Linked DNA regions of Mus musculus. The protein of the gene in region 1 purifies or fractionates together with the protein of each later gene. This does not show direct contact. Links are inferred from orthologs where the notes say so. Each region holds a gene or a part of one and is shown in the gene's direction. Other genes may lie near its edges.

Region 1 (4,349 bases):
ACACCGTCGGCAGGCTCTGCACAGGACTGGTGCCCAGACATGCACACAGGCAAAACATTAGTTCACAAAACAAAACAATAAAGTTCTTTTTAAAAATCGATAGGGCATTTTGAGCTCATACTCAACTAGCTGGGCAGCATTCCTAGAATCCAGACATATACACAAAGTAAGGGTGAGGAAGGGAGACAGGGAGAGCACAAACTAAGGGTAGTGGCGCAGGGGTTCGGGAAATTGTTTTGACAGTTTTCATCTTTGTCCTTTTGCACTGGGTCAACCTCCACAGAGCTTTTGGTGGTTTCCAGGGAGATGGAAGTGTGGGAGACTTTGGGGATGATCTGAAACTTCTAAACACCAAACAGGGTATTTAGGACTCCGGGAGGTAGCCAGTCTTCTCCCTAATAACTTGTCTATTTAAATCCTCTCTGTTCTTCCCATATATTTAGATGAGTCGGAGTCGGTGTATCTGAGTCAGCTATGGCAAAGGGAAGAGGCTTTTGCGAGTGTCTTCCGCCAAACTTGAGACTGGAAGATGAGAATACACGGAAGTAATCTCTGACTCAGCCTGCCCAAGGCTAGGGTGTTGTGGCATTCCCCACGAGTGACGCACTCCCAAGATAGGTGACTTCATGTATCATGGGACTTATTCCACCACTGACTCCACCCCATAGCCTCCTCTGCTTCTTCTCTCACTTCCCAGCCCCACCTCCCTCTCAAGATCAGAGAGGGACCGGTGGTAGTGGCTGCAGCCTAGAACTGTCTTTCTCATAGGCAGGGAGCAGAGGGACCCAGTGTTTGGCAAAATGCAAAAAGTGGTACTCATTTTCCCTTCTCCAGACGCTTCGCTCTTCTGGTTAAGGCTATCCTTACTCTTCCTTAACATCAAAGTGTACTATCGTACTCGAGGCAACCTGATCCTCTAGGCAGTCATTCTAGTTACAGCTTTTTCCCTCATCCACTGTTTTCCTTTGAGTCCAGAATTCTCAGTAGGAAGTAGAGAGAGTCTCGCCTCTGCCTCTTTCCTGTTCTAGCGGTATGACCTTGACTAACCCGCAACTTCCCTGGCCCTAGTTTCTTTGTCTGTTAAGCAGGGTCCACACGTCTGGCGCACCAAGAAGGCGCGGGATGAGCCGTAAAAAGGCGAAGAAAACGCTTGCAGCCTCCTGGGGAAAGTTGTCAGTCTTCAGAGCCCCTCCCTTTCCTCTGGGAACGCCCAGCCAACGCAGCCTCCGGCTGTCACTTCCTCCACCTCTCACCTCTCGGTCCGCGCGCGCGCGGCGCCGGGTGTTGGCGTCACAGCCGGCGCACGCCGCCGCCAGGCCCCGCCCCTCGTCCGCGCCTGGCCTCCCGCGGGGCCCCGCCCACCGGGGCGACGCGGCGCTGGCCCCGCCCCACGGGTGACGCGTAGCGCGCGCGGCCGGGCCGCCCCGGCAGTTGGTGCAGCGGCGGTTGGGGCGAGTGCGCTCACCCCACCCCTCCCCTCCTTGGCCAGGGCTCCGGCCCCCACCCCGCGGGGCCCAGCCCCAGCCCCAGCCTCCGCCGGGCCCGTCCCGTGCGGGCCCGTGCCACCCCTCAGCCGGCGACGCCCGGGGCCGCCCGCCCGCCCGCCACCATGGAGCTGGAGGACGGTGTGGTATACCAGGAGGAGCCCGGAGGCTCCGGGGCCGTGATGTCAGAGCGGGTGTCCGGCCTGGCCGGCTCCATCTACCGCGAGTTCGAGCGGCTCATCGGGCGCTACGATGAGGAGGTGGTCAAGGAGCTGATGCCACTGGTGGTGGCCGTGCTGGAGAACCTGGACTCGGTGTTCGCGCAGGACCAGGAGCACCAGGTGGAGCTGGAGCTGCTGCGGGACGACAACGAGCAGCTCATCACCCAGTACGAGCGGGAGAAGGCGCTGCGCAAGCACGCCGAGGAGGTGAGGGCCGGCGGGGGCGGGGGTCGCAGCCGGGCTGGGGACGCTGGGCGCGCCAGGCGCACCAACGCGCCAGGGTGGACTCCTGAAGGGCAGGCCCGAATCCAGGGCCCGGGACAGTGCTCCGCAGCGTCTCGGGACCCCGGGACACTGGCCGGTGCTGGAAGCCTAGGCAGGCCAGCGAGTGTCCAGGAGAGGGGTGAAGTGGGAGGAAGGCCGGGGGAGGAAGCGACACTCTGGCATCTGAGGGCACCTGGGACTGCCCGAGGGCGGAGACTTGAGGGTGTCTGGTTGCTTCTTGTTTAGGGAAGTTTCCGACCACCGTAGGATAGTCGGGTGCGGGTTCAAACTTTTAGCATGGGGAGGGGCAGTGCTGTCCTGCCCGTGTCAGTTCCGCTGGCTTCGGTACCTTTCCAGGGGGGGCTGCTGCTGCTTTGGGAAGTTAGAGATCTCCCTCTTTCGGTCAGTTTCTTCTTGACATTTAGATCCTCTTGAGAAGGAAGTCTACCTATGTACCCTTTTTTTTTTTTTCCATTTAATTTTAACACTTAGTCAACCACTTAGAAGTCGACTAGCAGAGTCCAGTAAGTACATACAGTACATTCATTTACTTTATTAATGTTCCTCACAGAGGAATGTTCCTCCTTCGTGTCAGGTGGTAACCTTGGACAGTTCCCTGACAGCCTCCTCTATTTATAAAGACTGGGGGGCGGGGTTGAGAAGGTGTGGGTGAGTGTTACAACACTTGTCCTGTCTGCGTTTGCTTTGCATCCTGCAGTTTCTAAGTGCACTTGGCTGGCTCTTTGCTCGAACACCTGAGCGGTGACCTTTGTACTCGTCACCTGAGTGTGTGAGCCTTTTTGGATCCTGGGCTGTAAATGATCCTCTAGCTTTTTGAGCGAGTTCAGGATTTTAGCCTGCAGGCTGAGCGCCCTGGCATTGTTTCTGAAGAACCTTTCTTCGGCAGTCAAAATGCTCTCCTTGTTTTTGTGCCAGACATCTACTGTACCTAGCTAAATACATGGTGATTGAAGGAGACTAATTATCGAAGGAACCACGTGTTGTTTTTCAAAACTACATGACGCGGTAGAAGAATGTGACATTTGTTTGGCAGCTCAGTTCCTAGCATTAAATAGGCAGTTTATTTTGTTATTTGTGCCTCTGCATTCAGGTAAATGATTCTTTTTTTTTTTTTTTAAAGTCATGATTATAGTGGCGCTTTGTAATTGAGATTTTGCAGTCCACCTATCTTAAAGAAAGGCATTGAATTTGCCAAACAAAATTGACTTTATTTCAAGAGTATGTTTACAAATAAACACGGAGGGAGGGTTGAAAAGAAGACAAGGCCACAGCCCCGTTAGTTTCTTGGTTTATAAAACAGATCAAGGCCTTTAAGGTGGCGTGCCACTTGGGTGCCACTTGCCACTGATACAGACTTTTGTCATGATGTGGATGCAGTTGGAAGAGAGTGGGGCCAAATATACACAGATTAGGAGCAAGTTCAATGTAACCTATTACCTCTGGTTAAAAAAAAAAAGGAAATGTTCCCTCCAGCCTTAGCCTGCGGACAGGATGAAGTGCCGAGGTTACACAGTCCAAGAAAACCAGCTGTTACAGGTTACAGAATCAGAAAATAAAACTGCTAGGCTTTGTTTTCTTTATTTTTCTTTATTTGTTCATTTATTTTGGTTTTTCAAGACAGGGTTTCAGTGTGTGGCCCTGGCTGGCTATCCTGGAGCTTGCTCTGTAGACCAGGCTGGCCTGGGACTCACAGAGATCCCCCTGTCACTGCCTACCTAATGCTGGGATCAAAGGCATGCACCACCTCTGTCCGGCTTATATTTATTTAAGTAAATGACTTTAAAAACAGTCTGTTCACTAGGTTTCTTTAACATTTATACTTCTTAGTTAAATCTGTCACATCTCCATAATGAAATGTTTGGGTAGACTCCTGACCTGAGAATTAACAGCACTGATGAGATGCTAGACGAACCCTGCCCTAACCACAAACATAAAACCCCAGCAGCAGCAGCAACAGCAGCAGCAGCAGCAGCAGCAGCAGCACTACTCATGGAAGATGCTAAGCGGTTTTGCCTATACCTAGGAGTTCAGTCTTCCAGGCCAGTGTACAGAGTGGATCCTGTTTAATTCTCTCCCTGAATGCTCAGTGCCTTTAACCCAGAGATTAAGAGCATGTGCTTATAGCAGAAGTGCTCCAGGGAGGGTATTTACAAAGTAATTTGAAAGCATGGTAATTGTTCATCTCTAGAGCATAAAGTAAATTTTGGGTATCTTTGTGGGAACTTAAGAAGGCCTGGGAATGGTGAAGGTGTTAAGGAACCTATGAGGTGCTGTAATCTCTTGCTTGCAGAAATTGCCAGAGAGGGGGCAGGAATGTAATTTCTATTATAATGGTTGTACTTAATTTGAATGTACTCCA
Region 2 (2,818 bases), on another chromosome or scaffold:
GCCACCATGTGGTTGCTGGGAATTGAACTCAGGACCTCTGGAAGAACAGTCAGTGCTCTTAACCGCTGAGATGTCTCTCCAGCCCCACCCCACCCCCCAACCCCAAATAATAAATCTTAAAAAAAATTTTTTTTCTTGCCTTGAATACAAGTTTGACTTAAAAGACACATACTTAATATTTCTTACAGCTGTACGCTGGATTTGAGCCAAAAGTAGAAGTGGTCAGCTGCAGACAGTTCAGCAGTCAAAAATCTGGTAGGACCTTTGGCCAAAGCTCTGCTCCGTGGACAGTAGTGGGATGGACTCCGTTTGCCCGGTGATTAGGATGGCATACTGTCTCTATTTTACAGGTAGTGCAACTTCAGCCCCCTGGAAGGCAGGATTTGCCAGCGTTCCTAAGGTGTCCTGTTTGCAAGAGTCTCCTTGGTTTGCAACCTTAATCTTGCATCCCTTAATCCACACCACAGCCAAGTGTCCACCCACAGAGGGCTCAACCTGGACATGGCCGAGAAACGGCACGGAGCCTGGTTCGGCTTTGGTTTCTGTGGCTTCGGGCAAGCGCTGGGTTCTGGGAACAGCCACCATTCAGTGTACAGTCCTGAACCACTGCATGCCAGTGATGATATTTGCCAAGTGAGCGCAGGCTGGAGCTACACTGCCCTGGTGACCCGTGAGTGCCCTCACAATCCCAACTCCAGACCTGTATCATGTATACCTGCCCAACCCTCCTAACATGCCAGTCCAGAAATACCCAACACCCGTACACCCTTACTCGGGCAGCCTCGAGCTTCCCAGGTCCATGGCATGCGTCCCTCCCAACTCTGCCCACACAGGTGGAGGCCGGGTGGAATTGTCAGGTTCTGTGAGCGGTGCAGCAGACGGCTGCAGGGACGTGTGGGCTTCGGAGGAACTCCTGGTGCTGCTACGCAACAAGGGCGGCTCCAGCACGGAAGTGCAGGCCTGGGTACCAGGTTCTGCGTTACAGGGGGAGCCCCTCTGGGTCCAGAACTTGGTTTCTGGGGCAAAGGGCCAAGGGGAAGATGAACCCAGCAGGGAGTCTAGGATGGGGACCCTGCCGTTGCTACCCTGCGCCCGTGCCTATGTGACCCCAGAACCACCCTTCTGCCAGCCTCTGGCCCCAGAGCTGCGGGTCCGCCAGCTGGAGCTGGGAGCTGAGCATGTGCTGCTGTTGTGCGCAGCTGGCCAGGTGTTCTCCTGGGGTGCGGGCAGGTGAGGACCGGCTGGTTGTGACGTGGCGGAGCTCAAGGAGAGGCTCTCTTGGATGGACCTGTAGCTGATTAGGGACGCCTTTGATCAGGCATGGACAGCTGGGCCACGGGACTCTGGAGGCAGAACTAGAGCCAAGACTGTTGGAGGCACTGCAGGGCCTGCGGATGGCTAAGGTGGCTGCAGGTGGCTGGCACTCTGTGTGTTTGAGTGGTGAGTGACTCGGGGCGGCTCCAAACAAGCTGGAGGGCTTGGCCCCGCCTTCCTCTTGCTCTGTTTTTGTGGGCGGTCTAGCCCAGGCCTCATTCCACGCTCAGTCCAGCTCAGTCATCCCTGAGTCTTCAGTGTTTCCAGATTTAGCCTGTTACTCCACCACCCTCTTACACCTCCACTCATCTGGTTACTGCCTGTCTTTGTTACTGAGCTCTTCACTACCCCCATCCATCTAAAATACTCCCGAAGGTCAGCACACTTCTGCAGGGGAAATGGTAAGAGACAGCTCAGCCAGGAAGAATGGAGAAGGCTGCCTATGCCCCGGTAGCCATGGTGGATGGCAGAGAGGTGTGCCTTGGTCCACAGTGTGTGGCCTAGGGCTTTTGTGTATTGGGTCCATCTTGGTGGGAAGGCTGAGACAAAAGAACTTCAGCCTGGAGTTAGCCAAAGAAAAGCTGGGCATGGTAGTTCGTGCCTGTAGTGCCAGGATTCAGGAAGGTTGGGGATTTTGAGGCCTGCCAGAGAGGTACATGGTAAGGTTTGGGAAAAGGGGAAGGGGAGAAGGGGTGTGTATGGGCAGGGATCTAAGACAGGGAAGCAGCGGGACTTGGTATGGGCATCCTTGATGGACGGGTGCTTTAGGGTACCCTTTACTCGCTCCTAGGAACAGGTAATGGGGATGTTTAGAGGAGGTGGGGTGGGTGAAAGGGTCCCACAGTGTGCTTCATGGATTCTCTTGGTCTCTTGCAGAAACGGGGGATATTTATATCTGGGGCTGGAATGAGTCAGGGCAGCTGGCCCTGCCCACAAGGAGTGGGACAGAGAACAAAGCAGAGAGAGAGGAAGGTAAGGTCCCCCTCTAGGATGTCCTTCCCTGCTCATTTACTGTGTGCTGGACACTGAGAATCATCCTGGGATTTTGGCCCTGCACAGCCTCTAGGACTGAGTGAGTAAGGCTTGGGCCCCAGCTCTGGAGCTAGAAAATGGTCTTTTATAGAGCTGGAAGTCAGTATGCGGACTGTTCACATGCCCCTGACTAGTAAACACACTGTAAGCCTTCTAAAGCCACAGAATTGAATGAAGATGGTCTCAAAGAGGAATTAGCTGTGGCTGATGCAGGAGCTCCTGCCCACTTCATAGCCATCCAGCCCTTCCCTGCTCTTCTGGATCTTCCCCTGGGCTCAGATGCAGTTATGGCCAGCTGCGGATCCCGACACACAGCTGTGGTGACACGTGAGTGGGGCTGGCGCAGGGTGGAGCAGCACTTAGCTGGGGACTGCAGCTTGCCATGCCTGCCCATTTTTAATTTTAGAAAGAGTCTCCATTTATACAGAATTATTTTGAAACTCCTGGACTGAAGCAGTTGTCAGGCTTTGGA
Region 3 (3,649 bases), on another chromosome or scaffold:
CTGCGCAGCCGGCGGTGCAGAGACGTGCATTTCCCTGTACTCCTCGCATTCTATGTGTGCCTTATCTCTTAGCAAGCGTAGGAGAGTAGATGGGTGAGCATGGGAGAAGACAATATTTACAATACTCCAGAGAAAACGCAGCTTACCTTTGATGGGTTTTTAGGCAATTTAATAAGACCATTGTGTAAAATTTTACTAACAGTTTAAAGAATTTCAGGCCAAAGTAACCAAAAGAAAAAAGAAGACTCAGTTATTAAAATTAAAGGTGAAAATCAGGGAAACATTATCAGAGGTAATGGTCAAATCCAAAGAATCATTAGGGCTTTGAAAATATGTATTACAGTAAATTAGAATATCTCACAGAAACGGGTAAGTTCACAGGTACATCTGACCTGCCAGTGTTAAACTAAGAAGATAGAAACAACTTACACAGACCTAAGACAAGCAATAAAATATCTCCCAACTGAAAAATACCCGGTCCTAAATGGAATCATGGCTGAATTCTGTCAGATATTTGAAGAGATAACGTAAATCCTCCTTAAACTGTTCCATAAAGTAGAAAGGGGAAGAATATCAACAAACTTATTTTCCAAAGCCAGCATTACTTTTATACCCAAACCAGGTAAAAGAAGAAAAGAAAAGAAAAGAAGAGAAAAGAAAAGAAAAGAAAAGAAAAGAAAAGAAAAGAGAAAAGGAAGGAAAGGATAAGCCGATTCATACATTCCCAATAAAATAATAGAATGAAATGAAAAATATACAAACGGGAAAGGAAGAGATGAAAGAGCCCTATCCACAGACAATATTGTCCCACACACAAGAGCCCAGGGCTGCACTGGAGAGGCTTAGCTCTGATTGAGGATCAGCCTGCGTCATCACCACACAGACCCCGTGGTTTTCCTATATCGATAGTGAGTGTGTCGAGAAAGAAGTCAGCAAACGCGACGGCCGAGCACAGTCACAGGCATCCCCGATAGCTTCAACATGAGCAAATAAAACTCCTGGCAATAAACTAACCATGTGAAAAGTCCTTTACAGTGAACATGTTAAGACACGGAAGAAGAAAGAGATGTCAATCAATGATGGAAAGGCCTCCCATGTTCCTGGGAGTTAACAGAGTTACTACCACAAAAATATGGCCAAGTGTGGTCTGTAGATTGAATGCAATCCACAATGCCAATACCGTTCCTCCTAGAAAATAAAGTTCACTTGGGACGACAAAAGGTCTCAGGTAGCCAAAGCTATAGGATAGTAAGAATATTTCAGAGGTATCACAGCTGCTGATATCAGAGGTATCATAGCTGCTGATTCCAGGTCACACTACAGAGCCATGGTAACAAAAAAAGCATGGAAGTGGGGTCAAAACAGACGTGTAAATCAGCAGAAGAGGAGAGTCAGAAAGGAACACAATGTAGCCACCTGATACCCGAGAAAGATGCCAAAATGTGCATTAGAGAAAAGACGGGCTGGAGAAGAAGTGATGCCGGTGGGGAACCGGCTAGCACATATAAGGAAGGGAACCAGATCCCAGGCTCCTACCCTACCAACCAATTCAACACGGAGCAGAGATCTTAATGGAAAAGGTAATGGTCTGAAACAGCTAAAGGAAAACATGCAGAAAACGCTTCGTGATGTAGGCAAGCCCTTTCCGAAAAGGGCTCCAGCAACTCAGGAAATAAAATGGAGAACTAGCAACTGAGATTCAAAGGCGTCACAGCAGAGGAAACAGTTTCCTGAGTTGAAGAGACGACAGCCTTCAGTGGGGGAAAGAATTGTTGCTAGCTATGTAGCTGACAGATTAGTATCTAGGTTCTATAAAAACTCAAAAAAAATTAAATTCTGGAAACAAACAACCCAGTAAATAAATGCGCTCAGAAGAAAGAGAGGGTTCTCCAACAATGAGTGCAAACAGCCAACAAATGTGAAAGCATGCTTCACACCCTTAGTCTTTAAAGTTCCTCTGAGGTCCCACCTCACCCTGGTCAGAAGTCATTAAGAAAACAAGTCCAGGAGCCTGCCAAGTAGCTCAGGTGGTACAGTACTTACCTCTTGTGTAAGAAGTCCTGGGTTTGATTCCCAGCACTCCCTACAAACGGCTGCACTCCCAGATGAGTTCAAGGTCGTCCCCAGATGTGTGTAGCAGATGTCTTAGCAGGTAACCCATACAAAGCCTGCTGCCCTGAATTCAGTCTCCAGGACCCACATGGTAGAAGGAGAGAACCCCTCCCCTCAGGTGGTCCTCTACCCTAAACACACGTGTGTTATGACCAACAAATGCAAGAATGTAAATAAGAAAATCAAAATGGAGATTTAGAATAACATGAAGTAAAACTGCATAGACACAGCTATCCACTCCTGCGGATATTTACAAAACTCTAACTCCACGTACTATAACATACATATTTCCCTGCACATATGTGTTTATTTCAGCCATATTCAAGAGCTACATCAAACAACCACCGTAGCTCTCCATTAGCAGATGATGGATTAAGAAAGCATGATATACATGAGTAATGGAGTTTTTTTTCAGCCATTAAAAAAAAAAAAGAAAAAAGAAAGAAGGGCTGGAGAGATGCCTCAGCAGTTAAGAGCACTGACTGCTCTTCCAGAGGTCCTGAGTTCAAATCCCAGCAACCACATGGTGGCTCACAACCATCTGTCATGGAACTCGATACCCTCTTCTCTTGTGTCTGAAGACAGCTATAGTCTACTCACATACATAAAATAAAAATAAATCTTTATTTTTAAAAAAGAAGGGAAGAAAAAGAAAAGAAACATTTGCAGGGCAGTGTATGCAACTGGAGATCTCTGTATCAAGAGAAATAAGCCAGAACAAAGAAGATGAACATCACCTACCGTCTCTCTCGGTTCTAGATCCTAGGTTTTATATAGATGTACATAAGATATTTTGCATATGCGTGCATAGGATATGAAAGTAAGAGGAAGGTACTCCGTTGGTAGGGAGGGGACGAGTGGATATGAGGAGGGGAGAAGGGGCCTTAGGTACGGTCACAGTGCTTGTTCTAGGATGAAAATGTTTTCAGGGAGTTATCCCGATGAGCACTGAGTATATGCCAAGAAAGACTTTAAGGAAGTGTTTCTAGAGGAAAAGAATTGGTCTTTGAGGCCATTTGCTGTCAAATGTTCACACTCTGACCTGCCTGGGCATGAGCAGACTGTTCTCTGTGACCCTAGACAGAGAGAAGGAGATCATCCGCCAGGCAGCCGTGCAGCAGACCAAGGAGATGGACCTGAGCGTGGTGCGCCTCATGTTCACAGCCTTCCTCCCTGACAGCACTGGCAGCTTCACTCGGAGACTGGAGCCTGTGGTGTCAGACGCCATCTATGATAGCAGTGAGTACTCGTTCCCAAGATGGGACAGTTTCATCTAGCTGCATGGAGGGCAGGGCCACTATGTCACTTACTCCCCAGAGCTGAGGCCTGCAGACTGGGACCTAGTCACATAGAGCCTCTAGTTTATTGTCTACAAAGTTAATACTGCAGTCTAGGGTAAAGGGTCAATATCCAGTTAAGCGTCTTAAGAACATGTCTGCCAAGGTAACACGTCTTCCTCAGAGAGTGCATTATATTCCTTACATGTAACACCAGTTTCTTACTATGAACACATGACTGTAAGGATAGATTGCTGGTG

What was found.
Region 2: the proteins of Spag9 (region 1) and Rccd1 purify together in Homo sapiens (affinity purification with mass spectrometry; 3 studies listed by BioGRID and IntAct, counting the BioPlex papers as one, with this or other methods). This does not show direct contact. The link is inferred for Mus musculus from reciprocal best matches to the Homo sapiens genes SPAG9 and RCCD1.
Region 3: the proteins of Spag9 (region 1) and Nfkb1 purify together in Homo sapiens (affinity purification with mass spectrometry; 5 studies listed by BioGRID and IntAct, with this or other methods). This does not show direct contact. The link is inferred for Mus musculus from reciprocal best matches to the Homo sapiens genes SPAG9 and NFKB1.

The regions. Positions count from the first base shown.
Region 1 is NC_000077.6:93,994,662-93,999,010, forward strand, and holds the start of Spag9 (C-Jun-amino-terminal kinase-interacting protein 4), read left to right. Parts: upstream 1-1,429; 5' UTR 1,430-1,609; coding exon 1,610-1,912; intron 1,913-4,349. UniProt on the Homo sapiens protein: The JNK-interacting protein (JIP) group of scaffold proteins selectively mediates JNK signaling by aggregating specific components of the MAPK cascade to form a functional JNK signaling module.
Region 2 is NC_000073.6:80,318,714-80,321,531, reverse strand, and holds part of Rccd1 (RCC1 domain-containing protein 1), read left to right. Parts: intron 1-188; 5' UTR 189-255; intron 256-350; 5' UTR 351-501; coding exon 502-670; intron 671-833; coding exon 834-1,230; intron 1,231-1,318; coding exon 1,319-1,440; intron 1,441-2,190; coding exon 2,191-2,286; intron 2,287-2,437; coding exon of another isoform or gene 2,438-2,505; coding exon 2,506-2,673; intron 2,674-2,818. UniProt on the Homo sapiens protein: Plays a role in transcriptional repression of satellite repeats, possibly by regulating H3K36 methylation levels in centromeric regions together with KDM8.
Region 3 is NC_000069.6:135,614,974-135,618,622, reverse strand, and holds part of Nfkb1 (nuclear factor NF-kappa-B p105 subunit), read left to right. Parts: intron 1-3,192; coding exon 3,193-3,351; intron 3,352-3,649.